Linked DNA regions of Drosophila melanogaster. The protein of the gene in region 3 interacts with the protein of the main gene of each other region in a pairwise test. Each region holds a gene or a part of one and is shown on either strand. Other genes may lie near its edges.

Region 1 (11,155 bases), on a different chromosome or scaffold from region 3:
CGTTATGTTCTATCTATAGTAACTCGAGCGGTTTCTTGTTATCTTATCTAACATTGCTTACACACATCGAACCTTCATCAGCACATATCACTCAATTCCTAGTGTCCTGATAAAGTTTACTGCATTTGTGAGAATGGGTCTTCCTAAAATATAAATATAAATAATTAAACTTAAAACATACATTCTTGTTCACATCAATTTAGAGCTACACCATAGAGCTCGATAAAGATGTGAACTTTGATTTGATCAGTTGCCTTATGTTGAACATTTGAGATCTATTTATTACAAGTAATTAAAAATGTGATTTGACTAATCTTTAAAGCTTTACACATGTATAACTTAATGAACTTATATAGTTTTCTGTGCCATCCTTTCATCATCGTCACACATCCAAGCTCCGTTCACGTTTCATTCAGTTTATCTACCGATTTGTTCAGTTTAACTTCGTTCTACGTTTATTACTCTTGACTAATTCGACGCTGCAGCAATCGATCCTCAGTGGCCACCCTACCAGCGTTGCAATGTTGTTCTAACACGGCGTTACCAAAGCAAAAACCATGACCCAAACTAATATGATTTCCCCATGAATTTCCCCAGGAACACCGAACGGAGATCGATGCGCGCGCCGGAACTTTCGGGGCTTTCGAGCAGTTCGGAAACGAGCTGCTGCAGGCCAACCACTATGCGTCGCCTGAAATCAAGGAGAAAATCGAGGATCTGGCCAAGGCCCGCGAGGACTTGGAGAAGGCGTGGACAGAGCGCCGCCTGCAGCTGGAGCAGAACTTGGATCTGCAGCTCTACATGCGTGACTGCGAGTTGGCCGAGTCCTGGATGTCAGCCCGCGAGGCCTTCCTAAATGCCGATGATGATGCCAATGCCGGCGGAAATGTGGAGGCACTGATCAAGAAGCACGAGGACTTCGACAAGGCCATTAACGGCCACGAACAGAAGATTGCTGCTCTGCAGACGGTGGCGGATCAGTTGATCGCCCAGAACCACTATGCCTCCAATTTGGTGGACGAGAAGCGCAAGCAAGTGCTGGAGCGCTGGCGCCATCTCAAGGAGGGTCTGATCGAGAAGCGATCCCGTTTGGGTGACGAGCAGACGCTGCAGCAGTTCTCGCGCGATGCCGATGAGATTGAGAACTGGATTGCAGAGAAGTTGCAGCTGGCCACCGAAGAGAGCTACAAGGACCCGGCTAACATTCAGTCGAAGCACCAGAAGCACCAGGCCTTCGAGGCGGAGCTGGCGGCTAACGCCGATCGCATCCAGAGCGTGCTAGCCATGGGCGGAAACCTCATCGATAAGAAGCAGTGCAGCGGGTCGGAGGACGCGGTGCAGAAGCGGCTGACGCAGATCGCCGATCAGTGGGAGTACCTGACCCATAAGACTACCGAGAAGTCGCTGAAGCTAAAGGAGGCGAATAAGCAGCGCACCTATATCGCTGCTGTCAAGGATTTGGACTTCTGGTTGGGCGAGGTCGAGAGTCTTTTGACCACTGAGGATTCTGGTAAGGATTTGGCCTCTGTCCAAAACCTCATGAAGAAGCATCAGTTGGTCGAGGCGGATATCGTGGCGCACGAAGACCGCATCAAGGACATGAACAACCAGGCCGATTCCTTGGTGGAGAGCGGCCAGTTCGATACTGCCGGCATCCAGGAGAAGCGTCAAAGCATCAATGAGCGCTACGAGCGCATCTGCAACCTGGCGGCCCATCGCCAAGCCCGTCTCAACGAGGCTCTGACCCTGCACCAATTCTTCCGCGACATCGCCGACGAGGAGAGCTGGATCAAGGAGAAGAAGCTACTTGTCGGCTCCGACGACTATGGTCGCGATCTGACCGGCGTCCAGAACCTCAAGAAGAAGCACAAGCGCCTAGAAGCCGAATTGGGCTCTCACGAGCCGGCCATTCAAGCTGTGCAGGAGGCTGGCGAGAAGCTCATGGACGTGTCCAACCTCGGTGTCCCCGAAATTGAGCAGCGCCTGAAGGCTCTGAACCAGGCCTGGGCCGAGCTAAAGAACCTGGCTGCCACGCGAGGTCAGAAGTTGGATGAGTCGCTGACCTATCAGCAATTCCTCGCTCAGGTGGAGGAGGAGGAGGCCTGGATCACCGAGAAGCAACAGCTGCTCTCTGTGGAGGACTACGGCGACTCGATGGCCGCCGTACAAGGACTGCTGAAAAAGCACGACGCATTCGAAACGGACTTCACTGCCCACAAGGACCGCTGTTCTTTGATCTGCGACCAGGGCAGTGAGTTGGTGGAGGCCAAGAACCACCACGGAGAGTCCATTGCCCAACGCTGCCAGCAGCTGCGCCTGAAACTGGACAACCTGTCCGCCCTGGCTGCCCGCCGCAAGGGTGCCCTGCTGGACAACTCGGCCTATCTGCAGTTCATGTGGAAGGCCGATGTGGTCGAGAGCTGGATCGACGACAAGGAGAACTATGTGCGCTCCGATGAGTTCGGACGCGACCTGTCCACCGTGCAAACGCTGTTGACCAAGCAAGAGACATTCGATGCAGGTATGATCAGCTGAGATTTTGTCTTAAGTCACATTATATTAACGATTGTCATCTGTTAAGGTCTCAATGCCTTCGAGCAGGAGGGCATACACAACATCACGGCACTTAAGGACCAACTGATAAATGCCAGTCACGCCCAGTCGCCGGCAATCCTAAAGCGTCACGGAGACGTGATTGCCAGGTGGCAGAAGTTGCGCGACGCCTCCAACACGCGCAAGGACCGACTGCTGGCCATGCAGGAGCAGTTCCGCCAGATCGAGGAACTCTACTTGACATTTGCCAAGAAAGCTTCGGCCTTCAATTCTTGGTTCGAAAATGCCGAGGAGGATCTCACAGATCCTGTTCGCTGCAATTCGATCGAAGAAATCCGCGCCCTGCGCGACGCCCATGCCCAATTCCAGGCGTCCCTTTCGTCGGCCGAAGCTGACTTCAAGGCATTGGCAGCACTCGACCAGAAGATCAAGAGCTTTAATGTTGGACCCAACCCGTACACGTGGTTCACCATGGAAGCTCTTGAGGAGACCTGGCGTAATCTGCAAAAGATCATAGAGGAACGCGATGGGGAACTTGCCAAGGAGGCCAAGCGGCAGGAGGAGAACGACAAGCTGCGCAAGGAGTTTGCCAAGCACGCCAATCTTTTCCACCAGTGGCTAACAGAGACAAGGTGAGTGGGGGCTAAGGCTTTCCCAAATGTGGGCTACTCCATCCAGACGTGTGTTGGTTTTTTTCGGATCGAATCCATGTTCCCATCCCAATCCACACAAATCCGAAAACAAGTCTCGTGGTCGCGACTCTAACCCCATGAAATACTACGTAACTGAAAGATCCATTCTATTTTCTAGATATTATATGCTGGGTTATAACCGTCAAGGGTAATTAAGCGAGCAGGCTTGATTCTGCGTTTGAACTCTTATTTTCTGTTGTGATCTTTTTGGTTTCTTAACTCGCGTTGGGGCTGAGCTCCCAATCTCGCTGCGCCTCCACTAACCTTTTGGAATGGCCATGTTCTCCGTAACTCTTGCTTTGCCCTTTGAGCTGAGGGCTTGTAAATACTCGTATATATCCACACTGATAAGATTGAGCGACGACTAAGACCTAGTTTTAGTTAGTTGCATTAGCGAGAGCACTGACCCACCCGATCCCGATCTGAGTGTATATCGTCAACGTACTGTTTCGATTCTCCATTACTCCTTTGGTCTCACCTAATCTTATTCAAAATTAACGAAACTGAACTCTTTAGCATGCGAATCGAGATCAAAATACTGTTGTAGCATACAGAAATATGTAGCAATCGAAAACATAAATTATGTTCATATTTATTCCGTTCAATCGAAGAGTTTAACCAAATCTAGTAGCATTATTAAATTACAATTTAAACGTTCCTTTGGCGCTTTTCTTATTTTAACTCGCTTTTAGCAATTAGACAACTTTCGTCATTATTAGTTGCTGAACTCAACAAAAAACCAATCTTAACTACACTAAACCTGACCCAAACAGATAAAACACTCGGGCCCGCCAAATTCCCACCGACACGTGTAAATATGTACAAACTAAAAACAAAGTGAAGACAAACTAGTTGCAAGCCCGAATTCAGAAAATCCAGAAAAATATTCGCTGCCCTTAACAGACCCTCTAACAAGATTTGCTTCTCTTATTGCATTATATCATTGTAACGTTCCGATTTGTTTGAGACCTAACTCGATATTGTGCCCTACTAATAGACGCTTTTTATCCGCCAACTCTCAACCAATCCCCACATCGCGAATTTCGCAGAACGTCCATGATGGAAGGCTCCGGTTCCCTGGAACAGCAACTGGAGGCGCTTCGTGTCAAGGCCACCGAGGTGCGCGCACGTCGCGTTGACCTCAAGAAGATCGAGGAGCTGGGAGCCTTGCTGGAGGAGCACCTTATTCTGGACAACCGCTACACGGAACACTCGACGGTGGGCCTGGCCCAGCAGTGGGATCAGCTTGACCAGCTGTCTATGCGCATGCAGCACAACTTAGAGCAACAGATCCAGGCACGCAACCACTCGGGCGTCTCCGAGGACTCACTCAAGGAGTTCTCGATGATGTTCAAGCACTTCGATAAGGACAAGAGCGGCAAGCTCAACCACCAGGAATTCAAGTCCTGCCTGCGCGCCCTCGGCTACGACCTGCCCATGGTGGAGGAGGGACAGCCCGACCCGGAGTTCGAAGCAATTCTCGATGTTGTCGACCCCAACCGCGATGGCTACGTCTCTCTGCAGGAATACATCGCGTTCATGATCTCCAAGGAGACGGAGAACGTTCAATCCTACGAGGAGATCGAGAATGCCTTCCGCGCCATCACCGCTGCCGACCGCCCCTATGTAACTAAGGAGGAGCTCTACTGCGTAAGTTCAATATTCCTCGATTACTGAAAGTTTCAACCCATGCCACTACTAACATCTTTGCTTTCTTGCCACAGAACCTCACCAAGGACATGGCTGACTACTGCGTGCAGCGCATGAAACCCTTCTCGGAACCGCGCTCCGGCCAGCCCATCAAGGATGCCCTGGACTACATAGACTTCACGCGAACGCTGTTCCAGAACTAAAGAGCCTGCATTGTCTTATTTAGTGGCGCCTGAGCATATGTCTTACAATTTAAAGTATATTTCTAAAAACCAACAAAACACAAAAAAAAATCAAACAAAAATATATATTTACACCATTATTTTCGATAATTTAGTCTCTAAGTCAAACAGTTTAATGCTTATTTAAGAACCTATGCCACAATGAACCTTAAATCAACAATAGCACCTTGCAATACATATTTATCAACATGACTATGAACCATTTCTAGTTTTTGCATTTATTTATCAACAGCCCAATGAGAAAGTATCTTAAATTTTGACGTTTCAGTTTGAGAATTGGCTACGCGTCCGGTCGCCGAAGAAGATATCTAATCGAGAACATTGTCACAGTAATTTGATCAACTTGCGCCTGAAAAGCAGATAAAAAGCTTAGCTTCCAGTAATCGAGCACACATTTTCAATATTGAATGTCTGTAACTTGTAACGAACATAGATACAACTGATATACCAAAAAGATTTAAGATACTCTTGCTACCAGAAATGCATAATAACCAGCCTTTTATGTTTCCTCCAGTTTCTACGTGTATTCGAAACGAAAGTAGTAAGCTTTTTCAAAGCAGAAAAAAAAAAGAAAAACAAAACAATAAATATTTGCCTCTGTATTGGACGTATATTTACAACTCGTGAATTGCAAAAATAAATATATTGCTGCATGTCTAAATATGTTAAATGAGTGGAGTTTTTATTAAAAATTCAGGGGAGTCTGTAATCTGATTTTGCAGAAGGAAGTTGGCAAAAGTATCAGCATCTCACCAGATTCTTCTCAAATGAAAGGCAGCTAGTAGATAGATATTCCTCTGAAGTATTTTTATTTATTTGTTAGATATCAAAACAATTTTAACAATTACGATTACAACAAGAACTTTTTAACGCTTTGGGCATAGGCTGTATTGGTCAGCTTTTCATTGAGCGCCTCCTTGGGAAGCCACTCGAACTTGGTCAGATTTTCGGGCACCTGGCCGGACCGCAGGGATGCTCTGTAGAAGAAGACCTTGGCTCCGACAGTCTCCGTCCGCTGGTTTCTGGGATACTTGTATTTGTGGAAGCCCACTGGGGCGTTGCCGTAGAAAAGAACCTGCAGCTCCTGGCCGCAACTCTCGCGGAGCACTCTTTCTGCAGTCTGACGCATGGACTCTCCCTCCTCACGCTTTCCCTGCGGTAGAATGAGGTGCTCCTGCTGGCCCAGCTTCTGCTGTACCAAAAGGTAGAGCGTGTCATCCAGACAGCGGTCCGTGGAGGTGGTTCTGTTGGCCTGGTCATCGGGCGTGGTGCGGGAGCCCAACTGGAACTTTTTTAGCTCCTCGACGTAGGCGTCCTTGAGGTCCTGAGCTGTCTGCTTGGATCCTGCGTCCTCCAAGTCCACCTGGATCTTGCCCTGCTTTATGAGCTCCGCCTGGACGATCTCACGTTCATGCTTGAGTTCATGGTCAGACTTCAGGCTGTTTTCGTACTCCACGCGCCATAGCAAGTCTTGGAACTGTTTTTCCAGCGGATTAAGGGACTTGGACACCACAGGGAGACGCTCTACGAGCACTCCGGCGTACAGGTCCCACTTTTCCGCGCTGGCGGTTGACGATTGGGCTCGGCTCAACTCCCGGGCACCCACTTGGACAATGCGACGCAGCATTTTAATCAGTTTAATTTAATTTTTTCGGAAAATAGAATGTTGACCACCGATTACATGAGCACCAGAGCCGGAACAGCTGATTTGCGGCACAGTTATCGTTATCGGAGAGCGCGTCGCTAGCCTCTTGCCACAATTAGTATTTATTTTGTTCTGTTTGGAGAAGTTATCAAGGAAAGACTGCTAAAATGTCCGGTCTGGAGTCGTATATCAATCACACAGTCTCCATCATTACGGCAGACGGACGGAACTTCATCGGGACACTCAAGGGATTCGACCAGACCATCAATATCATCATAGACGAGTGCCATGAGCGCGTCTTCTCTACCACCTCCGGCATCGAGCAAATCGTGCTGGGACTGCACATCATCCGGGGGGACAACATCGCGGTGATCGGACTGATAGACGAGACCATCGACTCCCGCCTGGATTTGGCCAACATTAGGGGCGAGCCGCTGGGTCCCGTGGTGCACTAGGATAGCGAATAAAACCAGTGATTCTCAAGACTTAACAGGGTGTATTATTTGTATTAATGAAGTTTCTTATTCTGCATCTACGCTAAAGTTGACCATGCGGCAATCCAGCGTATCCAGGTCAACGACGGCCACACTCTGTGTTTTGCTAAAACTGGGCACGCAGACTAGGCGGGTGCGCTTGCCTTCGGAACCCTCGTGCAGCTCGGTCGCAAACGACTCGCAGTTGCCGGCGTAGTAAACGTGCGGACACTCGCGCAGGATGAAGGGATCACTTTCGATGTACGGGTAGCACGCTAGAGTGTCCGGTGCAGTGGGAGCAACATGTCCCCAGGTGAGGGTGCAGCGAAGGGCCTCCAGCGCCGAGTCCAGCGAAGTGCTGCGCAACAGATCCGATACATTCTGGCCAGATGTGCCTACCACCAGGGCCTCATCCAGCCGGCAGCTGTACGGATTAGTCACCGCCTGGAAAGTTGCCAGTTGAGCAGCCTGGGGAAACATGCACTTGTGGAACGGCTGCTGGGGCAGCATAAAGTTGGCCGGGTCGTAGGGTCCCGGCATTATGTCGACGGGCAGACTGCGTGCCCATGAGGCAAACCACTGGTCTAGCTGGGAAACGGCCTGGACTGTGTCATTTGCGTTCGCCTGGGTGCGTGCCACCTGTAGGGTGGGCACATGTGCCATGGCACTGGCTCTCACCGAGTTTCCAGCCACGATAAGACGCACCATGGAGCCCGCTTCCTTGTTGTTTCCAAGACTGCCGGCCAGCCAGTACTGAAAGAGATTCAATGCCTCCACAAATTTGTGGGCCTGCAGTTGGTCCAACCCAGACGCCAGCACCAGGAGGCGGCTTCTTTTAATGGGGGCCAGTGGCTTCTGAGGTCCACTTTCGTAGAAGAGTATATCCTCCACGTTAAAAAATCCGTCACTGTCTGTTCCACCGAGGGCAGCGCACACAACTCCAGTGGCTAAGAGCTGTCCATTTAGCTTGCCCTGAAGTCGAACCCGCTGCAGTTCATCCTCCAGAACAATCTTGTCCTCCGGATCCGAGTAGTTCTGTCTTGGCGGCTGTGGCGCTAACTGATTCTCCTCAGAAATGTCCCGGAGGATACTGGGCTTGTGAGCCTGGTGCTTAAAAATGGTGCCGATCAGGATGCAGTGCACGTCCTGTTCACCCCGCAGCTCACACAGTTTTTTGATGGGCTCCTTGTTGCCCCACTTCTTCTGGGCCAGCGGCGTTAGGAGACGCGTCATCTCGGCCAGGCGGTGGGCATACAGATGGAAGAACTGCTTTTGGTAGTCATGTCCCTTTAGCCGGAAAATGCTGCTCAGGTTCTCGTATTTGGTCTCCAGGCGGTTGGTCATGATTCCGTCGATATTTTTAGGAGCAAACTAAGTTATATTCCAAGACGCTCGTTTACTTTTGAGCGCCAATTTGTTACAGAGAGGAGAGGCTAAGGCAAACAGTTTTTCTTCAATCACGTTGGTAATGTTAGGGAAAATTTCTTAGGAAAACCAAAGTTTTTTTGGCTTGGTAACATAAGAAGTATTCGCTTTTGAATAAGAAGTATTTTTTTTTGTTAATATTTTATTATTAATAATTTTTTATATTTAATATTGACATTTATAGTAACTAAGTTCCAGTATTCACTGTACATTCAATTCGAATCGATAGCCGATAAGCCTTAACATTGGGTACAGCTGGATTGCACAAATCGAAAAGTATGTGCAAAGCCTATAACTTATTTTATGGAAAAAAATCGCGTTCATTGCTTTTTTGCTCCTGAATAAGGTGGTGCAAATGTATGCCCATTTACGCATTTTACTTTAAGTTTAAATAAACGCGCTTTTATACAAAATTGATATCCTCCTATCGACTAACGATACCAAGTTCAACCAACTGATATCGATTGCCGATAGGGCCTCTGAAACCCTATACTATAATATACTTTATTTAATCCCAAAGTTTTTTTTTGATTGTGGTAAATTTGAAATGCCCGGATGCGCTGAATCTAGCCTGAAAACGCGCCACAGGGATGTGGGATTCTGTGACTGAAGCCATCGGAGCAGCCTTTCTCCTTCCAGCCGTCGTTCAGTGCTGATCTGGGCGGTTCTTCAGGGCTCGTATTGATTTTTACGGTTTCGGAAGTGATACGCACTTCGCCGTCTAGCGATCTTCCCCGGAAACTGCGTCGCAGGAGATACTAGCATGACTGTGCAGTGTTAGACGGCCGTAAAGGGAGAAGCCAGAGCAATGGGCGGCTCCGTGAGCCAGGTGTTCCGATCCGGATCCGCACTCCTCTCGCATCGCGACGGAAAGCTGTCCAAGGCCACCGAGGAGACCATACAGACACTGTTTGACATCCTGCGCGCCAATCCGAAGGTTTCCCTGCAGACCCTCGAGAGCCTGCTCATCCAGATCCCAAAGAACGAGAATATCCTGGCCATGCATGACGACTATGGATACAACATCCTGCAGCGCAGCGTCGGCCTCAACCACATCGATCTCACTAAGTGGCTGCTGCATCGCCACCGCCCGGACGTTAACCGCTCGCCCTGCTCCCTGCCCCTGCACATCGCCACCCTGCGTGGCTACGAGGAGTGCGTGGAGTTATTGCTTCGGCATGGCGCACGTATCGACGTGGACACTCGGATGTGTTTTCCTGGCGCCCACACGAGAAATTGCGAGGAGAGCGGCAAATGGCACAACAACGTGGACGATGTCAGCGAGCGGCTAAACACAAAGCTACAGAACGCGCTCTTCTATGCAATCGACGGAGATCAGTACAATGTTCTAAGCTTGCTCACCCAAAAAATGGAGGAGCCGTGGATCCCCTTCCGCGTGAAAAAGCCCCTGCTCCACTTGGCCTGCGAACGCGGCGCCTGGAATTGCGTCCAGCAACTAGTGGTCACCCGTTCGGAGGAAATCAATCTTATTATGGACGAGTATTACCCGATTCACCATGCCGTGCTTCATGATGGTCGCTTTCTTGAGCTACTCATTCATCAGGGTGCAATTACAACTGTACGCACCTGCACCCAACAAATGACCCTACTGCATGTGGGTGAGTTCGTATTCCCTGAAGAGAGAGATTCTGATGCAGATGTTGTAATAACCATGGCTATTATTTTCAGTTATTTTTGCTGCTCGTAAGTCTGCTGAAGACACGTTGGCCACTCTTCGCATCCTGCTGGAACGAGGATGCAAAGAGCTAATCAACGCACCAGACTCGTTGGGAAACACTCCACTGCACGCCCTGATAGTGCGCTATGCCCTTGAGGAAGCCCGGTACGGCTACGACAAGTGGAGCAAGTGGGATGTGTTGCACCTAGTGCGATTTCTCCTGCAGAACGGGGCCAAGCAATCGATTAACCAAGCGGGGAACAGTGCCATGGCCTGTGTGTTTCGACACCTGCGAGACTGGGAAGTCTGCTACGAACTGCTAAGCATGCTTATCAAGGAGAATGGTTGGTAAATCAGTTATGTTTTGTCAGTTTACACAATGCCTCATTTTTCAGGAGACCCCAACATCGTGGGGAGAGATGGATCTGTGCCCATTATGGTTCTGCTAGTGCCATTAATTAATAAGGATCACCTGCATCATTTCACGCACTCCATGAAGGTCTGTCTCGTACATTCCATTTTATTTGCGCAAAAGCTAATCCCTTGTTTCAGGTCTGCTATCTGAACTGCATCCGCATGCTGCTGCAGCACGGAGCGAATCCCAATTGCTCCTACCGCGCCAACCTTAAACCACTGCACGTGCTCGTGTTTACGGTTAGCGAAAACTTTACGCTTAATTGTGATGCTCAAAAGCGCACCAACTTCGACTTCATCAAGAACATCCTACTGATGCTACTTCAGCACGGCCTGGACTGCAATAAGACATATCAGCACATTCTGCAGGCGGTGATGGACAT
Region 2 (10,650 bases), on a different chromosome or scaffold from region 3:
ATGTGTACGTATGTATGTATATAGCACCGAAAATACTCCCCATCACCTACCGCCCACCACCCACCGCCCACTTTTAGAGACACCCACTTGGAGTGGAAAGCTCTGTTTAGTTTTAGTTGCGCTTTAAACTGCATTTCGGCTTGCGATGCCTTGTTGTTGCAAGCTGTACATAGAGCATTGCATGAGTGGCGACAGGGGGGTGTGGCGGTGGGCTGTGTTACTTGTGCAGCAAACGAAATAGAAAACAACTGCAATATGTTTGCTTCCCCGGAATGCAGGAATGGAATAGCCAGAAACACAGCTCCACTTGCAATGCATTCGGCAGATTGAGCCCAAAAAACAGATATTACACCCGAAACATGCCCAATCGCCAACCAATTGCAGTTGTCATCTAAAAATTGCAACTTTTACAGAAGCCTATCTATAAGCATTGGGTGGTAACAACTTTGAAATGGGACTGGCTTGAATCAAAAGTTTCCATGAGCATGGAACAACCAGAAGAAATCGATTAGAAAACGGGCAGTTCTTAAATTTATGTGGGACTTAAACAAATAGTTAACTTTATGCTATTCTAGCATTTGCCACAAACTAACCTATCCTAACTATCATAACTTTACAATGATGTACATTGAAAAGAAACCATGTTAAAGTTATACCGTTTTGGTATAATATTTTATATTTATCATTAGCTCCCTTTTTGTGTGTGCTCTTAAGCATAAGAAGTACTTCCTGAACTTTTGACCTCTTTAAGCGAAATTAGATGAAAATTTCAGATATCGATAACAAGTGCCAGGGGGGGTGGGGAGAGGGAAATGAAGTGAAAAGGGGAAGGAGAAACGAGGAAGAGGAAGAGCGCAGCGATACTGCAAAGCCGTCGACTTTTGTTGCTCCACTTGCACAAACAAAAACGCACGAAAAGACGAAAAGAGAATTTCGGCTATCGAGCAAGCTCCCCTAAACTCACACACACAAACACAGACACTGGCAAACTCACCTGCAAACTCAGGTAAATCGACACGCGTGTGTGTGTGTGTGTGCGCGGGTGAGTGGTACCTGTGTGGAGCTGACACGGCAACAAACAAAGGTAACGCTAAAATCTACAGCGATAAATCTAGAAACCGGGCATTCTAGTTCCCAACCTACCAGATATATTTTAACTCTTTCGATTCACTTTTTCCATGGCTAATTGGTTGGAGCTACTAATTATCAATTAATTACATTCGCATTTTATAGATATGTATATTTTATTTTGTTCTACAAATGTGTAAGACTTATTATTTGCATTCTATTTGATTTTGCCTCATTGAAATTTATAGAAGTTCAAAATTCTTATCAATCATTGATTTTACGATAATACTTGGCAAAGATAAGAATTCGCATAGCTAAAAACTCATTTTCTTGAAATAAATCTTATTACAAATTGAATTACCGATGGTTTAATAGTTTGGAAATAGGTTCAGCGAACTTTTAACTCCTCTTAACTTTCGGATTTCACCTGATCCGCTGTGAACTAGTTCAGATATAGCCACCCCTCCCCCACCCACAGAGAAACCAAAACAACAACAATTGCAATTACAGCAACACCAACTAAACTATTGCAACAAGCAAGAACAACAAAAACTACTAGAAATGCGGGTCTGGGTCGTAAAATCGAGACCAAAAGCAGAGAGCAAAGGAGCGGAGAGAGGAGGAAAGGCGAAGAGAAGTGCAAAGCGGTGGCAGAGGAGGATGGGGAGACTCGACGAGACGTCGAGAATGCAGTGCACATAAAGAATGCCAAAATAAGTTTAAAACTAACGACGAACCGGGTTTTAGTGCGTGCGTCTGTATGCGAGTGTGTTTGTGTGTGGGAGCGAGACAGCCAGCAAGGTGGTTTTTTGTATGGCTGTGTATTTGTATTTTGGAGCATGCAACATTGCCGAAAAATGCGTGCGCTGCGGGATGGTTGAGAAAGAGAGAGGGGGGAACCCCAAAAATGAGAGAACCGAATGGGAGAGAGAGTTTGCGAAACAAGTGCATTTCTGCATGAGTGTATGTGTGCGGGGGGTAATTTTCGAGAAATTAACAAGTGTTGCAAAGCTCAAAAAGTGCGTGCGGGTAATTAGCAAGTATAAATATGTAAAACAGAATCAAATACAAAACGAATGGGAAAAAGTTCATTAACACAGTTAACATAAAAGACCGCCAACAAATCTCATTCATAAGCGAGAAATGTGTGTATAGATAACGGGAACGGAAAGAAAAACGAACAGCGGCGACAACCCCTTCCGAATACAAAAAGGAAAAACCGCGGCAACCCAGTCGAGCGACACAGGAAAAAAAGTAGCAGCTGAGACAAGCTCCTAAGCATGGCGTCCCAACAACAACAGATAAAAGCTGTAAAAATTGTCAATATAGAAGAAAGAAAGGCAGGCTGGCTAGCAGCAGCAACAACAATAACAGGAGGGGGGGGGCAGAAGAAGAAGCAGCAGGCTTTGGAGCTTTGCGAAATAATGCGCGAGAGTTAAAGAAGAAGCCGCCAACGCCAACTGCGACGTCGGCAGAGCATTTTTAACGAGCCGAATGACAAGCGCACACAAACAGAAACACCAACACACACAACGGCACTTATGCAGATGCATACAGTCGAGGGCGAAACCATAGCAGTAAGATCAGAGCGTAAACATTGAGAAAATTAATAAATTCAAATTAAAAATGTGTGTTAAATATTACCTTAAAAAACTATTGAAGTGTTTGGCGTTTAGTAGTAATTCATATTACTTTCATTGTTTTGATAACAATACATATAAGTATTTAATTCTAGTGCCAATCATTAAGCTATTGTACATTTTATAGTTTGTTTTGTAAGACAGTTTTAACAACCAACTTTTGGGTTTTATGACTTTTCTTAATTGCCACTATTGCATTGACCTCGATTGTTCAAACACACAACCACACGCACACAAGGAGGCGCACAGATGGGCGACATGCATACGAGACGCCGCAGCAGCAGACCGGTTGAGGTTAAATTGGATAGTGGCAGTGAGAGAGAGAGCGGGGCGAACGAGAGAGAGCGATTGGAGATGGAGCATACATATACATATTGAATTTTTCCTCTTTGGCGTAATGAAAATTTTAGCACTGTTTTGGGGCAAGAAAACGGGGGAAAAAAACAAGAAAACTTACCCGCGTGTGAAAATCCGTTAGTCGGTGGCGCCTCTGCCGCTGCGCTGCTGCTGCGGAACTCCTCTCGATTTTTCCAATTTCGCATGCACAAAACTATTTGGATTTCACTTAATTAATTACACTGCTTATGTACCACCTTATATATGCACTTATGCGTTGGTATGTATGTATATACGCCTCACCAACACACTTGCAGCCCGCGCTCTGCTGACGTCGACGCCGCTGCCTTTTTGCGGCTACTTTTCGAAATATTTTACACGCACTGCAGAATATACTTTGTTTTATATAAATATTTTTGTTTGTCTTTTACTTTGCTGTAAACTTTATACGCAATTTGTTTACTATTTCAAAGAGAGAGTGAAACACACAAAGACATAGACACACACGTACACACACACAGATAGGCCGCTTTAAGCATTCGTGTGCGGCATTTTATTAATCCACGTCGATTTGTTTGTAAATAGATAACGATACGATATTGTATTGTATCCGCCGAATCCACAGATAACGACTCGATTTAATTTCAATTGTGCTTTTTCGCCGCTCCGCTCACGCACACTACCTCACACACACAGACGAGACCGCGTAGCACGTCCGAACGATCCGAGAGATGAAAAAGTAAAAAAGTGTTTGTTTTGTTTTCCTTCCTAGCGATGGCACGCGCATCGATGTTGGCTCGATACTTTCGCTGGCGCTTGGGATTATATACTTGCGCTGTTTTTTCTCTTCGGCGCTGGTACGGTCATACCGCGAATTGTACTCTCTGAGATTCGAGTTCGAAAGTACGTTTAGCATATGCAGCAACCAACTAAGAGATAAAATTCGAAATCAAGTTTTTGGCGGGGTTTATTGATATAGAAAATAGACTTCGAATTCTATATCAAAACTACGTTAATCAGCGAAAATTGTAAGTTAAACAAAAAACTATTGAAACTATTGATTATACACAGCGATTTTATATTTCAAAATATCAAACTTGATGGTAAAAGATAAGATTTAAGGTTTTTAAACCTTATTGAATTGCACAAAGTTTTCCGACTGATGCTTGATGTACGATTTGCGACAGTCCATTTCATCAGCAGGACGATTGTGTGGAGCCCAGACAGGTTCGCCCACAAAATAGCGACGAGTTCTGATAAAGTTCTAAGAAAAAACAATACAAATAGTTTAAGTTTGTATATAAGATTGTCAAAATAACTTACATTGGTATCCAAAGTAAAGCGGTGATATATGCCAGCTGGTATAATGATCAGATCTCCCTTGACAACCTTAATGCGCAACCAGTTGTCCTCATTGCTATAAAGAATAAATAGTTTTCCGTTTTAAAACAATTCCAAAAATGTTATTAGTGTGAGCAAAAACAATATCAGTAAGAATATGAATGCTTGAACTATTTAATTGGGAAAATGTGGCTGGGATACTATAAAATGCGGTGTAAATAAACAAAACTTACTCGCGAACATCAAAGTAACCGGATCCCTCCAATATCAGGCGAATTTCCTCATCCGTGTGCAGGTGTTCGGTGAAAAAGGCTTTCAACTTGTTGGCATAGTCTGGAAGGCACTTTTCCGAGCATGTGATCTGTAATAATTCGAAGTTTACCAAAGTTCGGTAGATGTTTTTCAAGAAAACATCGATCTTGCCTCATCATCGTAGGTGTAGCCACGTTTTGCCCTCAGTTCCGTGAGGGTATTATCGCTCTGGTACTCGTCCGCATTGATCTGCAAATGTGAATGATCAAGATAAGCTCGCCCCCAAGGTCACTTAAGGTTTTTAAAGTCGCAATTTCGCTTTTCACTTGCCTTAAAGTATTCCACGCCGGTCTTCTGGTACAGATCATCCAGTTCCAAGTAGGCAGGCGGATTGCGGTGGTGCTCCAGGCGCTGATCGGTTTCCTCCGTATCCATATACCAAACCTGCACCATTTTGGACTGTTTTAAACGGGTTTTCACGAGCAACGAGCAACAAATAGATTAAACAAGAAAAATTCAACTGGCATCAGCTGTTCGTTTTCGAATTTTCGAAATCGATAACAGACACTCAGGCGAATGCCGCTAGTGCTGTTAACTTAACATTCGAAAATGAATGCTGTTAGTTTTGTGTTCGAAATACTGCTATTTTAAAAACTTCATTTTTGAAATGTTCGATTTAAAACGTAAAATAACCATAATTTTAATAACCTTCAAAAGGAGTTATTTTTCTATTTTTTTTTTGTTCCATTATTACTCTTTATTATTTTACGATAGATATACGATTTTTGGGCAGTTTGTTGTATGTTTTGACTTTAATTGAATTTGTAGCGTGCAATTTTGCCTTTCGTTACTATTATCTAGTTTAATTTGTGTAGACATCTGACAGTTTGGTACTAACAATCTTTTAGTACGCGAAAATGCTAGGTTTCTGGTTTTATGTTACATTTATTGGCGTTACAAAGGAGCACAGGATTACGCAGTCAGTTTGGACAGTTCCTCGCGCAGCTCGGCCGTGTCAATGGCTCCCTTCGCTTGCGATTGCGGCTGGGCTTGGGCTTGGGCTTGGGATTGGGCCAGGAGGCGGGCACAGTTCTTCTTGTGCATGAACCAATGCAGCCGCTGGCATTCGCGATCGCAATACTGCACCGCCTTGCACTTGGAGCACTTCTTGTCCGGTTTCTCGGCGCCGCAGGTGCTGCAGTAGTTGCCCTCGTCCTGAAAATTAGTTTTCCAGATTAGAAAAGAATCATTTGATTATGAGATCATGATACCCACCGTAATCCACCTCATCCCATTGATGGCATTTCGCAGGACAGTCAGTGCTGGTGGGGCATCCTTGGCGCCAAATTGCGTTGCGATTTGCCGGAAGATGGTGCACTCTCTCACGGGAAACTCCCTGGCACATTCGCGCAACGTGTATTCCACATAGTCCAGCTGGCCCAGCTTGTTCTCCTTGAGCACCCGCTTCACAAACATCTCGATGAAATCGTTCTTGTTCGCATCGCCCGCCTCCTCGCCACTTTTCTCCTTGTGCTGCGCCTTGAATTGCTCCTCGCAGCGTATTAGTTCGGCCAAAATCCAGCCCTGATAATGGAACTTGAAGGCCAGCAGCTCGTTGAGGTCATGCGACTTCTGCATCTCCTTTTCGCACATCAAAGCCAGCGTCTTGCGCAGACTGGACAGGATCCTAAGCAATCCCAAGGACTGCACATTCAGGGCAATCCTCACGGGATGCAGGTTGATTTCGGTGACAAAGGCGTGGAACGATTTGAGTAAGCTGGGTGGTATATGCGGCTCCGTCTGCTGGCCATGCACTTGGGTGTAGTACTCCAAACTCGACTGGGTCACATAGTTGTTGATGGTCTCCACGCAGGCGTGGTTGCCCACAAAGGCGGCCATTTGGGCGGCGGTCCTGTTGACACTATTGATGCTACCCGGCTTGATGCCAGCATCCAAAAGAAGCCGGCACACATGTGTATTGCCCGATAGAGCGGCGAAATGCAGTGGCGTATAATCAGCTCCATGCTGATTGAGGTTTATGTCGGCACCCTGTGGAAGAAAAGGCGGTTATTTCATGTTTAGAGCCCAAGCGGTGGTTGCCTGGCAGATGTACCCACCATGTCCAGGAGCAGCTGCACCGCCTCGCGGTTTCCCTTGAAGCTGGCGTGGGCCAAACACGACATCCCGGTGTCGTCCACGAAATTAACATTCCTCACTCCGCTCAGCAGCTGCTTGAATCCACTGGTGTCATTCTTGGCCAGATGATCCAGCAACTGGCGCTGCACGTCGTCCAGCTGTACGATCTTCTTGCTTTCCTCGGTCATTGTGATTCGATTGTTTGTTTTTGTTGGATTTTTCAAGTGCTCTTCGGAATATGGAAATCAAGAAACTCCACTGTTTTCGGCGTGCTTACAGCGATACTGTCACAGTTTCACAACACTGTCCGGCGGTTGGCGTGCGATATATCGTTACGATATGGTACAATAAGAAACTAAAACAATATCATATATATCTTGAGTTTTATAAAATCAGAAAATATGGAAATTGGCATATATGGAAAAATTACTAAGTATAAGTATTATAATCTTATATATTTTTGTATTGTTATATTATATTATATTATATAATAAAATTTTCTTAAGATATGTTGGTAGGTTTCAGTTAATCTCTCTTTGCAAAATTTGTTTCTTTATGAGCCATAAATTTGCTTATACATAAATATATATAGGTTAAATAAGTTGTTACGTTATTGAATAATTTTTTATTTATCATGAAATTGTGTGTTTCTCAATTCCCATCACTAAGGTGTTGTTAGCATTAGTATTTTATATGTGGAGGCCCGTTTTGGTTGGGCTTTATTCGACTAGCCCCGCTACGGTCACTCTGCTGTTTTGTTGTTGTGTTTTTTGTCGGCGGCGTGTGTATCGCATTCGCATCGCATCGAATTGAATTTGATTGGATTGGCTTGAACTGAAATCGTGTGTTTTGTGTTTTTGAAAAAACTGATACAAGCATTTGAGCCCCGCGAGCTGCCCATAATGTTGAAGGCGCCCTTGCGCTACTAGGCAATTAATTAAAAAAAAATAATTTAAAAAGTACCGCAGTGTGGAAAAAAGGTGATAAGCGTGGTGCAGAAAAATGATGAAAGGAAGAAATTCCAATGCAGACGAAACCCTTTTGCATGGGGAAATGTATAAATAATATAAAAGTGAAGATAAGCGCGCAAAATAGCGAAGCAAGTGGAAAAGGGACGGCGAGAGAGCGAGATAAGGAAAAGCCAGATAAACAAAAGCCGTACACACACACGCACACATGGCCACAATTCTTTAACAAAAACAAGCCCGTTTTGTTGCTCCTCTTTTTTCGCAATATGTGTTTACATGTGCTGCTGCTCGAGCAGGAAAATGGCCTTTTCCCACTTAGCGCAATGTGTGAAAATTGGCCTTGCCGATTTTCCTTTTCCTTTTTTGTTTACCGATTTCGATCTGTTTCGATTTCGCAGTATTTCCTGCGAAACGCACATTGCCAAGAAAAGAGATAGAGAGAGAGAGAGAGAGAGTATGGTCTTTTCATAATCCTCTCTCCCTCGTTCTCCTCTTCACCCCCCGCAGTGCAATTTGTGAGGTCGAAAAAATACAGTAAACATTGGTTAGAGATGAAACAAAGCGGAAAATCGTCGACATTCCTTTGATTTCAATATATAAAAATGTTTTTTAAGGGGATTTTTTAAAAGTATAATTTGAGTATATTAAAGTTAGTTAAATATATTTAAATCAAATGAAAATATCAGGAAAATATTTTTCTTGAAAAAATAATTTAAATTTAATCTTAGATGAAGATATATTATTATGTATTTTCATTCGTAAAAATCAAAACCATTGTTAGTTCAAAATCAACATTCAAGAACTTCCTTGAACCCCAACCATCTGTGTTATTTTTTCCCATCTTCGAAGGGGGCTGAAAACATAGAAAACGCGGGGTTTTGTTGTCACCGCCTTTTCCCACCCTTGAAACTGCCCTTTTCCATTGTCCTCCGAAAGATGAAACAAGTTCCTGAATTGAATGCAGCTTCCCCCACCATCAACCTCCACAATCCACTATCCACTATCCCTAGCAACTTTTGCAGCTGCCTTTTGGGTAACCAGCCCATTTATTAGGCCCTTTTTTCGTGACAACAGGTGCAACAGCTGCTATATCTTCTGTATTCTTTGTGTTCCCACTCCCTTTCAGTGCTCCAAATAAATAAAACAACAAATTCCAAAAAAGTGCTAATTAATAACGCAACGAAATAGAAGCAAACACCAATACTACGAAATCCCCCAAAACTACAAGTATTAGTTAATCAAAGAAAATGGGAAAGCTGCTGAGCCTGCTGTCACGCGACGACTCCAATTGTTGCGCCGCCAAATCCTACGATGTCTTCCTGGATTTCGAGAACGCCGCGCCCACGGAAACGGAGCGTGCCGTCTACGACGAGGTGGAGCGGGTACTCCGGGAATCGGAGGTGGTGCTCGACGAGATACAGATCTATCGGGTGAGTCTCAACTGGTCATATGCGTCATTAGCCACGGGCTAAACCGCAACCCCTGCCAACCGGTTATTGGGCATTTGTCCGATGATTCCTATAGTTCGAGTCACTAAATGGTGATCAAAACGATTTTTTAAAGAAAATATCAGTACTTTATATATAACATAAATGTAAAAAGTACTTTTAAAAGGATTATAAGCATTATAAAATTTTAAATGATATATTTTCAAGGCATTTATGCATTATCAAGCTAGTTTAAAAACTATTTTAGGTAGTTTGATTATGCCTGGGCTTCCCCGAAAAGGGAGGTACTGTATAAGACTGATAATTTCAACAACTTGCTAAAAATAACAACAATCGCCGGGAAATTGAAAGCAACAAATAAGAGCAACCATAAACGAGCAACAAATTGAGTATTTAACCTTTTGCCAGGGTGAGAAAAGAGCGGCACTGAGCAGAGCGCTATCTTTTGCTCTCTTTAAATGCTGTTACTCCAACGCCCTCTGAAACTACTAAAAATAAATGTAATACTATTATTAAAATAATAAACAAATGATTGTCATTATGTACACGCTATTTTGGTAATAAAACCTAGCATTTTATGGCCGCATTAAAATTAGCATGTCAAGACTGTAAGTAAGCGTAAATATTTTGTTAACTATAGATCACTAGGCTTTAGGCGCCTATACTTAGAATCCATTTATTAAATATCCCTCAGAGTAATAGATTTGAGTAGACTAATTAGTTAAACTGGCCCTAAGAAGAAGAGCATTTTACGATGTATCCAATGTGGCTCCTCCAATGTGAAATGCCCCCCCAAACATGGATCTCTTTGATTGCCTGACTCACGCACGTGCCCACATGATCCGATCCGGTGAGCGGACTTCTTTCATTATCGTCGCTCCACTGACGTCATTAACCAACTTTTGCCGCCGCTCTTCGCACTCCCATAATTCTCCTTCTCCGTCTCGCGGCGGGAAGAATTAGTCACCCCATTCTTCGTTACTCACACAGAAAAAAAAAATGTCTATGATGGGTTTTGTAACTACTCTTTTATCAACAATAACTTACGCCTTTTAAAAACTGATTAGCATAGTTTTCTTTTCTGTCAAAAAAAGCTGACCTAATAATGCTGTCATTAAATAGTTTGGACATCTTTGATTTGATAATGATAAGATATGATAAACTTATGTGAATCTGATAAAGATATTTGCGATGTGTAAAGCTAAAAGTCCTTAACTGAGAACCCTAAAAATAACTACTACAATATATGCAATTTATAACGATTTAAATTGAATACAAAATTATTGGAGCATATATTTTTTTTCTGTGTGCATTTGACCTTTTGGCGACAAATTCTAACTCACATTGGTGTGTGCAAATTATTAATTGGGTTTCAGACGCAAAAATAAAAAGAAGACGGTCAAAGCGGAAAAAAGGGTAGTTAAAGGGGGGGGGGGTAAAGGGTGGGGGTAGGTGGAAATG
Region 3 (11,155 bases):
GTGCCCGAGGAGAATCTCTTCAAGCTGAAGAGCGACGTGATCACGCTGAAGAAGCGCACCTATGCGACCAAGCAGGAGGATGAGGAGGAGTACGCCGAGGAGGAGCAGGAGCAGGAACAGTCCTCCGATGATGAGGAGGCACCGCAACTCACCTACAAACAGCTGGGCTACATCACCGAGCAATACAAGAACCCCAAGTTCAGGAAGATCAGCAGTTCCAGCTCCAGTTATGCGTACAAGGACTACAAGGATTCCAGCGAGAGCGGCTACGGTAAAGTGGCCGGCAAGGTGTCCGTGGACTGTGGCTTCAAGCCCGGCCGGATCACCTCGTACCGGAAGTCAAAACGAGAGGAGTCCGACGACGGTTACTACTGAATCAAACCCATCCCCCCATCCAATCCAATTCCAATCCTTACGTTTGTAAATATGTATATACGCCAAGGAGAGAATGGATGTTTGTCTAAGTTAGTCTTAAAAAATATACATACGTTTTTAAAAAAAATGCACAGCAATTGGCTTTCTTCTAAAAATACTTTATTACTTTTAACTTGGTTAACTATTTCATGGCACTGTTTAATAGTTTTAAATGTGGCTTAGAAAATTATATGAGGCCAATGAAAATAGAATGCAAGAATTTTACTTTGCATTTAAATCTATAAATAAACCATTAAGTGTACTTTAAATGTATTAAATGTATCATTAAGTGTTTTAAATATTCCCACGACATATTATTTGACTTATTTGTTTATGAATTGCATTATTACAGTTGAGCATATCTAATAGAGATTTTACACTGTTTAATAGTTTGTAATACAGTGTGTTTATTTTTGAATGAATGCCATGTAATGCGATATGTTGCACAAGAAAATAATTGATTATATATAAACAAACATTTGTATAAGCTGGCATAATTCAAAATGTTTTTCACAATACGTTTAAAACTAAAATGTTTACTTTCCGTTCGCATTGGCTAGGTTCCACTGTGGACAATTCTGCGTTTGGCGTTTGGATCTCAAGCCATCGAGACACTCGACACTGAAGAAAGCGGCGAACGTCGGGAACATGACTTTTGACGGAAAACATGACCCGCGAACTATTTGAAAAGGTCAGCGAAAACAAAAACAAACAGAGTGGCCAAGCCGGCGTCTCTGGGGAAGAAGACCTTGCCCAAAGTCAAGACCATTGGGGTCCGCGTGCTGGCCGAGATGATATAAAGAATGTGACAATACATTCTGCGGCTAGTAGCCAGCAAGGCAGACAACCGAGAAGATCTAACCGAGATGCGATACTCCATGGCAATGATCCCGATTCTGGGCCTGCTGCTCGTAGCACTGATCCACGCCGCTCCCGTTGAGGTCGTCTACACGGGCGAAAGTTGCGCCTGTCCCACCCAACTGGGTTACCAGCTAAATGTGCCCAATACCCCAAAGCCAAAGAAGTATGTCGGTGGCGAGTACGGCTATCGGGTGGAGAAGCCCGTCCAGACGAAAGCCAAGATTACCTACAGCTTTGACTTCACTGTGGAGCAGCCGAGGACACCGGCGCCGCCCAAGAACAATCCCGCCAAGCTGTATGCCAAGGTGGACCGGATCACAGTCAACAAAGCGGGTAAGTGCAAACAAAACAACCAATGATTTCATGAAAAACTTCTCTTAAGCGGACAGTTCTCTCTCTTGGGCGGACATTTCTCTATATACATGTTTCTCCATGTTTTCCTCTAACAACTTTATCTATGATTTATATTATACAGATTGCCAGGCCAAGAACAAGTCAACATGCGGCTGCTCGAGTTGCTCCGGCCAAAAACCCAGGTACGTAGCTTCACCGGTCAGGTCGCCGAATGCCATTCGTCGTCGCCGGGATGTTCGCCAGCCAGGTTCACTGCTCCGCCGTCGGCTAATGCGCCAACAAAAGATCCAGGAGCGTCCGCCACGCTTTGTGAAGCTCTATCACAAGGATTTGACTCCTGCGCAGGAGAAGCATCAGCTTAAACTTTTTGGCCTCTTTCCCGTGGAATCACCAGAGTCAGTGGCTGCCGCACCCAAAACCAAGAGAAAGACGAAGAAAACCCAGCCGAGCTGGATGGGATTGGGAAGGCGTTTGAAAAAGCGAGATATTAAGGGAGAGTTTGATCTGCTCGAACAAGAACGATCCCAGATAGATCTGACTGCGCCGGAAATAATCCAGTTTATGCCCGAGACTCTGAATCCGGACTTTAGGCCCGGTCAGTGTCACGTGGGCTGTGGAGCGATGACAGCATCGGCACCACCACCAGAAGAGCCAATGCCCAAGGAGGAGCAAGTGCCTCAAACGACGCAGCCTGTGCAAACGGAACCGCCAGAGCAGCTCAACTCGATTCCCGCCAAGAGGGCCGCCTATGGTTACTATCCCCTGCAGATTCCCTCGCCATTGGGCCGTCGGGAGGACTACAAGTTCGTGGATGATTCGCAGCTTAGGAGCCTGTTGTCCACCACTTCTGTGCCGGATCCGCAGGAGTATAGCTCCACGCCGTTACAGTTTGCCGGTGATTTGGAATCGGTTACAAGAAGATCCTATGGTGTACCACTAACGAGTCTCGGCGGTGGCTATCCCGTGGAGCATGTCTCCGACTCCCAACTGGACAGCATTATCTCCGGGATAGTGTACAATCATCCTGCCTACGATCATTACTCCACCGAGGGCAGTCTGGTCGATCCGGAGCCAATTCAAAAGCAACAGACGACGGATTTTCTCAAGAAACTCATCGATGGCCGGCTGGGCGGCTGGGGTTTCGATCAGGGATCGGAAACCGAGCACAGTTTACACAATGATTACTCCACACAACCCGCGAAGACCTATGGCTATAATAGCCAAACCCAAAATGGCTACAGTATAGACACCTATAATGCGCCACCCATTACGGATTACCTGAGGGCCTGGTTCTAGTGCCCAATCTAACCAACATAAAATACATAGTGTTTAGAACTTAGTTTAAACGAAAAAAAAAAAAAAACAGAGAAAATCATAGACGAAAAGTAAACAAAAAGAAAAACAAAAGACAAAAAAAAAACAGAATATAATAAATTGAAAATACATTGTGGTGTTTCTTTCTTTATTCACCCAACGTCTTCGTCTTTCTTCTCTTTGCAGCTACGGCGAAGACGCGGGCTACGGCTACTGAAGAGAGATCTTACATATAAACCAACAATATCAAAACCGAAACCCAAACCAAAACTCCAAACCGAATGCAACCCAACCCAACCCAACCCATCGATCTGCTGAGCTCGGCTTAAAATCCAGCCGAAAGTAGGCCAGTGGAGCACTCCGCTTTCGGGTCTCCATTCGCTTGTATATATGTACATATATATATATATATATGTATCTACGTGTACTATAGAAGTTATGAATCCAACCTCCGATTTCTGTTTACGTTTTCCGCTTTTGTCGGCACTTCAAGAAGTTGCCCCAATTAACTGGTTAATAAAGTGTTTGCCTGATTAAAATGTGCTCGATTCGATGATTTGGGGTTCCATTGGGTGCACCTTTGGCATAGAAAGAGCTAGCTATATGATACCCCTAAAAGTATGCCCACCGAAATGAACAGCTCTTAATCCTAAGCATTTCAAATATTATAATAGCCTAATGGCATATTACTTTGATAAATAATTAAGGGTTTTAGCATTTATTTACCTAACACAATTCTTCTGTTTTTTAGTCTTAGTCGTTAGTCTTAGTAAGCTCACTTATCATTAAAGAGCCAGTATATATAATATATATGATTTATTTGCATACGATCACGATCTGTTAATGGCCAAATATTTATTGTTCTACATAAACAAATGGTGGTGGTGGTTCATCATTCAGCGACAAAATTCTTGCGATTGCATACTATTGAAAAGCCAAAAGATACTCGCAACCGAAAGCCACAAAAAACTCACTGAACTTCGTGACCATAAGAGCAAAACATTTCTAGAAGAATACTCAAGATTCATAGGTACTAAGTAATAATAAATAATGTATAGTATGCAAAATGCAATAACTGGTTATTAATCTATCGTTTCAGACTAGAATTTTATAAAATATGTCAGGCAGACTTACTCACTTATCCTTTGATTAAAGAAGTAGGGTGTTTAGTAACATAGTTTATTGTGCGATTTTTGTAGAATCGAATGCGATGTAATCCCAAGACCTTGTAATTCTCGGCATGTCAACAATGTTTTACAGCATCCAATTAATGGCACATACACCCATTAAAAAACCAACTAAAGTATCGTTAAATTATTGCAAGCGAACCCATTGACTAGTGCCAAAGAATTCGAATGACCCTGGCTTGGTGTTTCTCACAGTTTTTTTTTTTTTTTTTTTTTGTTTTTTTTCTTCTCTCTGACGCATCAAGATCGCTGGAGATTCGTGGATGAGACATTTAGTGAATAGTGAATATGGCATATCTGGTTATAGATCACGTCCCGGCACGCCATTTTATTTTTTAACCGAATCGAGCTACTTTTGTGGGTATTTAAATGGATTCCATGGGAGCCGGGGCCCTCAGTCGAAATGGCAGCCGACGGCAGTTGGCCTATACTACTCTTGTTGGTCTCAACACAGGCCATTATTCACGCTGAGGTGGGTTCATTATATACACTCCGTTTATACAATAAATAAATAATGCTTGTATATTCTTCATTATTCGTTCAGAATCTAAGTGAATCCACGCCCGGCCCCGATGAGGAATACAATGTGAGCACAACTCCGGGTGCGCCGCTGGAAGAGACCACCAATCGCTTGGCTGCTCGCGTTGAGCCATACGATAAGGGTGATCGGGAGCAGTACGATGTGATCGATGTGGCCACAGCTACCGGTACGGTGATGGGCAAGCCCAGAAGTGGACAGACCACGAGAATCTACACCACCGGCGAAGTGGACGAAAGCTTTTGGCTAAAGCATCTGGGCGATGACTTCAAACATGCCATCCATCTGCAGGTGGGCGGCACCAACGAAGAGTACAATCGCCTGATTAACCGGACCCAGAACGGTGTCCACGAGGAGGTGCATCACGAGTATTTACCGGGGGCCGAACGACCTGGCAGCGCAGTCCAGCCTCCATCTCCTCTACCTGCGCCACACCAATCGCGTCCAGCTTATCGTCAGGGTTTCGACAATCGAGCCATGGCCATGAAACAGCAGTATCTCATCCATCAGCAGACCCAGCAATCGCATCCTGCCCAGCAACGCTATAACTATGCCCAACAGCATGCACAACACTATGCACCACAACCACAACTGCAACCGCAACCACAACCACAACCACAATACCCACAGCACACACCGCACAGAAACACGTATGCAATGCCTCAGAATTATGGGCAGCAGAACTACAAGCCGCAGAGTTATATTATCAACTCTAGCGAAGATCAGCTGCACGCCGAGCAATCGAATCCCTCGCCAATGAAATCAGCTGGAGAGGATCGACAACATCACGAGGAGGAGTTTGACTCCTTTGGCGGTCAGCTCAACTTCAAATCACCCTTCAATGACTACGGCAGTCGACCAGCACGAGATCTCACCTACCTTCTTTATAAGCGGGGTCTCTAGAAGCTAAATCCATGTCCACGTCAAACCAAAGACTTGCGGTCTCCAGACCATTGAGTTCTATAAATGGGACTGAGCCACACCATACACCACACACCACACATACACACACGCCAACACATTACACACAACACGAACTACACAAACACTGAGATTAAGGAAATTATTAAAAAAAATAATAAAATTAATACAAAAAAAATATATATATATACAAAAATTTGTTGTGTTTGAATTGAATTAAGAGCTTATCAAGAAAAAAATTTCAGTGACTCATAATACACTACTCTACAAGTTTAAATTGAATCAACAATTTAACTTTCATTGCTCAGGTTTTTAGTAACAATGTTTATATAAGTTTAGGTATAACAAATGATTTAAATATAAGATACTGTATTTCACATTGAGACGAAACAATCCACCGAAAATCATAAAATATAAGAATGTTGCATTTTATTTTTAAAAATAAAGATGCCTTTTAAGAGGAATAACTTAAATGTCTTTAATACCTTTGAATTTAATTATATGGCTAATAAACACAAACTTAAAGCTTAAAACTGCATCGAATTGAATGCGGTTATAAATGTACTTATATATCTAATATAATCTGCTAATATGGTTTACATGGTATATCTTTCTCGGAAATTTTTACAAAAATTATCTATTCATATATCTCGAGCGTAAGATATTTATCAGTTTATAGATAACATCTTTAAATTTGGGTGATTAAAAAAAAACATTGCTGCAGGGCATGTTTATGTACACATTTCAGTATAAGTCCCAAGTTAAAATGCAATGTAAAAACATATAAAGGATATTAACTTCAAACCCAAAGGATTGCAGAGAGATTGCAGCACAGCTGTAATCATCGCAACAAGGCAACCAAAACGAGACTCTCGTAGCGTTGGCATCATATTCGATCTTTGGAAGAGCTATGATTCAAGCCAAGGGAAACAACTGCCAAAAAATAGAAGATTGCGACGAGCGGAAAGCAGAGTGGTGCACCACGGTGCATAGGTGCATAGGAGGTTGGTTGTCTAGAGATCTGGGCACGATGGCGAGACAAAGATGCGGCGCAAAATCGGAAATGGAGATGGATCACGTAGCCGGCCATGGCGGGCAGCGATTATAGGCGCTATAAAGAGCCGGAGTCATCGCCAGACAGCGAGCAGTAGACGATCCACACGTAAACGGCAACATGCAACTCGGTCTCTGGTTTGGCATTTTGGCCATCGCCGCCACGCCGGTTAGTAGCTTTTATCCATGGCATTCGCATTGGGCATCCCGCTAATCTCGCAAACTCTCTCTCTCTCTCTCTTACCTCCTCCTCATTAGCTGGTGAGCGCTAACTATGGTCCCGCTGGCGGACACGGACACGGACATGGACATGGACAGTACCTGTCCGGTCCCAATGCCGGACTCGAGGAGTACGTGAATGTGGCGTCTGGTGGCAACCAGCAGGCTGCCAATCAGATCGCCTCACAGGCCGAGATCCAGCCCACGCCGGAGGAGGCCCGTCGTTTGGGTCGCGTCCAGGCCCAACTTCAGGCCCTCAATGCCGATCCCAACTACCAGAAGCTGAAGAACTCCGAGGATATTGCCGAATCTCTGGCCGAGACCAATCTGGCCAGCAATATCCGTCAGGGCAAGATCAAGGTGGTGTCGCCACAGTTCGTTGACCAGCATCTGTTCCGCTCCCTGTTGGTGCCATCGGGCCACAACAATCACCAGGTGATCGCCACCCAGCCCCTGCCACCAATCATTGTCCACCAGCCTGGTGCACCACCAGCCCATGTGAACAGCGGCCCACCGACTGTGGTGCGCGGCAATCCGGTGATCTACAAGATCAAGCCCTCGGTCATCTACCAACAGGAGGTGATCAACAAGGTGCCCACTCCGCTGAGCCTCAACCCCGTCTACGTGAAGGTCTACAAGCCCGGCAAGAAGATCGAGGCTCCACTGGCCCCGGTGGTTGCACCCGTCTACAGCCAGCCCAGGGAGTACAGCCAGCCCCAGGGTTATGGTAGTGCCGGAGCTGCTTCCTCCGCCGCCGGTGCCGCCTCCTCTGCCGATGGCAATGCCTACGGCAACGAGGCTCCACTGTACAACAGCCCCGCGCCCTATGGCCAGCCCAACTACTAAGGTGCTCATCCTGGGCATGGGTTGCTCCTCAGCTGCGACAGCTGGTTTAATTTAAATTTTTGTTTTTTTTTTTCTTTGCCGAACTACTGAGCGCAAATAAATGAAAAAAAAATACTTGAAACGTAAACGTTTTGTCATCAATTATTTTCGACCGGAAGGGGCTACCTGAGTGGCAATGAAGCACACAGATTAAGCACATATTTATGAATATATAAATATATACGAATGCATGAGAGAACAAAAAATTATATCTAGTTTTCTTCAAAAATAAATAATAAAGGGGAAAATGGTATAAAGTATGAACATAAAATTATGAACGAGTATAAATAAGTTTGTAATTGAAATCTCTACGGTCATACAAGTATTTTAACTATTCTATAAATATGCATAAACATGGTACGCATTTTATGAGATACAATTCGAAAGATATTGGATAGCATTATCATGCATGAAATTATTTCACACTCTTGTGATGGTAGCTATCTTATTCCAGTTATCGTTTAATTGCAAAGAATGGGATCAAAAGGTCATCTTTATCAACATATTGTTGATTCCGGAATGAATAATAAATAATAACATAACTATGAATTAATGGAGCAACTATAATTTTACGGCCTCTTTTCTTTTAAACAAAGAATATAGCACTTTTAATGCATTAAATACGTATTTAAACCTTTTCTTTTGAAACGCCAAATTCATATTAGAGTTTCATAAGATTGTTTTAAAACATAACAACATAATAATTGAAGAATTGGAAATCTTTTTAGGTGTTTGTAAGCCTTTGAATTCCTAATTGGAATAGCTAAAGATCCATATTTCATCTTCAAATCTCTTTGCAACTAGAGATTTATTTTATCTGGCAATTATTAAGTATACATTTTTATATGGTACTTTAAACTGATGGTTTAATCAGTTACATGGATTTTCTAAATTAAAAATGGTCATGTGAAGATAGCCACTCTTCTAACAATCTAATCACATTTATAGTAAGAAATACAATACAATACAATACAATACAATACAATACAATACAATACAATAGAAAGACAATCGAATCTGCGCAATCCGTGTGAAATTCAAGGACTACAGCTGGGTGGCTAATCATTTCCCCCTATCCACTTACACCTCGGATTACCTCTTATTCCGACTCCCGGAGTCTTGTGTCTGCCAATGCGGAACTATTTTCGCTATCTGAACAGACGTTCGGACCTCGATATGCGGCAAAGATTCACAGCCCGGCTGTTGATTCCGATTCGGTGGCAATGTGTTCGTTGTTATTGTAAAACGGGCAATGGCAACTGGGCAGTGGGCAGTGGGGTTTTCGGGTTGTGGCTTCTACGTAAGTGGAAGAGACGCCGTGATATGCGCTGGCAGCGATGCGTGCGATCTATCAACATTTGGCCATGTTTCGTTCGCATCGCGTGGGCCCGGAGCGGAACAGCCGGCACCGGAGTTGGCATCAATCCAAATGTCACGTACCCGGAGCCGGAGACGCGTCCGGAGCATATTTAAAGTAGTCGGCCACCAATGGAGGGCAGCAGAAGACAGCAGACAGTCCAAGCGGGAGCACACCAGAAGCCGAAGAGCAACTGGAACTGCAACTGGGAGACAAGATGACGAGATCGACCTACATTTGGGCGCTGGCCGCCTGCCTGATCGTAAGTGTTCAAGCTCGAAATCTTAGGATTAATCCCAAGAAAACCAAGTCTATCAATTCTGACTGCTTTCGTTTGTGCCATGTAAATCGTACATGAAAAGCAAATTGACTTTCCTTTAAATTACTTGAAACGGAATCAAGCTATCTATCGATGCTAGACTTATTTTAAGTATATGTATATGTCGATCCAATTCTAATCCACCCCCCCCCCCTCAATTTACTTTTAGGCCTGTGCAAGCGCCAACTACGGCAGTTCCCAGGGCTATGGACCCGAGTCCGGAAGCGGTGCCTCCGATGGCGGTGCTGATGCCGCTTCAGCGGCCGCAGCAGCTGCCGGCGGTGCCGGTGGAGCTGGTGGCGAGTACGGTGGTGCTAACGCCGGTGCTGGTGCTCTCGAATCCGGAGCCGATGCCGCCGGTGTGGCACAGGCTGGCCAGAGCAGCTACGGATCCGACCAGAACATTCCGTACAAGCCGGTGAACACCAAGGGTAACACCCTGACCTCATCGATCACCTACCCGCAGAACAAGGGCGAGATCCTCATCCATCGTCCCGCTCCCATCATTGTCAAGCGTCCGCCCACCAAGGTGCTGGTGAACCATCCACCATTGGTGGTTAAGCCCGCTCCCGTGGTGCTCCACAAGCCCCCAGCAATCGTTCTCCGCAAGGTCTACGTCAAGCACCACCCACGTCGCGTCAAGGTTGAGCCCGTGTTCGTCAATGTGGTCAAGCCCCCAGCAGAGAAGTACTTTGTCAACGAGAACAAGCAGGGCTACGGACAGGGCTCGCAGTCCCACGGACACGGCCATGGACACGGTGGCCATGGACACGGACACAGCGGACACGGACACGGTGGACACGGTGCTGGACCCCATGGTCCTGGACCCCATGACGGTGGCCGTGCTCTGCCCGCCTACGCTTCGGGAGCTGATTCCGCTGCCGCCAGCGCTGGCTATCAGCTGCTCCAGAGCGGCAACCAGGGTCTGTCCGCTCTTGCCAACATCGCCGGCGAGCGTGAGGGTCCCTATGGTCCCGCTCCAAGCCATCAGCACTATAGCGCCGGTCCAGCCGGACATGGCGGCTATGCTGCTCCCGCCTATTAGGTAACAGATGCGGAGGAGTTACGGATTGGATGACTGCTGCGGCTCCGGAATCAACTGAAGCGGCTGGTTTAGTCATTCGCTTATCCGGCTGATTAGTTACTATGTTTTTTTTACAAAAAAAAAAAAAAAAAACAGCCTGATCGACCAACGCCCATGCCTACGCCCACGCCCACTCATGCACACCCCAATACCACCCACTCACCCATTCAACGGCCCAGGAGGGGCGTGGCACTCAGGTTTCTTTGCAAAACAAATAAAAAATTTGAACAAAAAAAAAAAAACAATTATACCCAAGCTGAATGTTGTTTTCGATGAAGGGTGAAATCTAGATGCTAGTTATATTTAAATTAAACTATCATTAGATATATACTCTAATTGATAGTTATTGATAGTCTTGCGACTCATTTTAAACTTGATACACTTATAGCATAGACAGTGAGTAATATCATTGATATTATTATATAATTATTGTTACACAAAGTGCATATGATGAGAATCGATTTAATGATGGGAGAACTGACTTACCCGCAACTTTATTCGCAGCAACAAGTGTCGCATATAATAAATACAATAAATCCGAAACGCAGGCTGTCATTACACACATCGTTTGGTTGTCCTTCCCCATTGTTGTGCGTTATGCCAATGGCATCCCACGCAATTGTTCAATAACAAACGGGCGGCAAAATCG

Evidence for each region.
Region 1: the proteins of Cp36 (region 3) and PolD2 interact in a two-hybrid assay, tested with the Drosophila melanogaster proteins (one large-scale study listed by BioGRID).
Region 2: the proteins of Cp36 (region 3) and Adi1 interact in a two-hybrid assay, tested with the Drosophila melanogaster proteins (one large-scale study listed by BioGRID).

What each region holds. Positions count from the first base shown.
Region 1 is NT_037436.4:1,773,125-1,784,279, reverse strand, and holds PolD2 (DNA polymerase delta subunit 2), read right to left. Parts: upstream 8,648-11,155; 5' UTR 8,600-8,647; coding exon 7,304-8,599; 3' UTR 7,261-7,303; downstream 1-7,260. Other genes in the region: alpha-Spec (alpha spectrin), read left to right, coding at 598-2,521, 2,582-3,185, 3,364-3,393, 4,295-4,895, 4,970-5,098; mRpL46 (mitochondrial ribosomal protein L46), read right to left, coding at 5,988-6,764; CG2021 (uncharacterized protein), read left to right, coding at 6,950-7,237; CG13933 (uncharacterized protein), read left to right, coding at 9,489-10,299, 10,370-10,702, 10,754-10,857, 10,911-11,155. UniProt on the Drosophila melanogaster protein: Accessory component of both the DNA polymerase delta complex and possibly the DNA polymerase zeta complex. As a component of the delta complex, participates in high fidelity genome replication, including lagging strand synthesis, DNA recombination and repair.
Region 2 is NT_037436.4:10,657,886-10,668,535, reverse strand, and holds Adi1 (acireductone dioxygenase 1), read right to left. Parts: upstream 5,161-10,650; 5' UTR 5,091-5,160; coding exon 4,968-5,090; intron 4,887-4,967; coding exon 4,809-4,886; intron 4,747-4,808; coding exon 4,619-4,746; intron 4,462-4,618; coding exon 4,368-4,461; intron 4,309-4,367; coding exon 4,171-4,308; 3' UTR 4,101-4,170; downstream 1-4,100. Other genes in the region: CG8003 (uncharacterized protein), read right to left, coding at 5,610-5,852, 5,913-6,686, 6,755-6,961; CG32066 (uncharacterized protein), read left to right, coding at 8,989-9,171. UniProt on the Drosophila melanogaster protein: Catalyzes 2 different reactions between oxygen and the acireductone 1,2-dihydroxy-3-keto-5-methylthiopentene (DHK-MTPene) depending upon the metal bound in the active site.
Region 3 is NC_004354.4:8,472,594-8,483,748, forward strand, and holds Cp36 (chorion protein 36), read left to right. Parts: upstream 1-6,725; 5' UTR 6,726-6,763; coding exon 6,764-6,811; intron 6,812-6,900; coding exon 6,901-7,707; 3' UTR 7,708-7,930; downstream 7,931-11,155. Other genes in the region: Cp7Fa (chorion protein a at 7F), read left to right, coding at 1-375; Cp7Fb (chorion protein b at 7F), read left to right, coding at 1,281-1,608, 1,751-2,925; Cp7Fc (chorion protein c at 7F), read left to right, coding at 4,534-4,602, 4,675-5,571; Cp38 (chorion protein 38), read left to right, coding at 9,321-9,365, 9,592-10,467.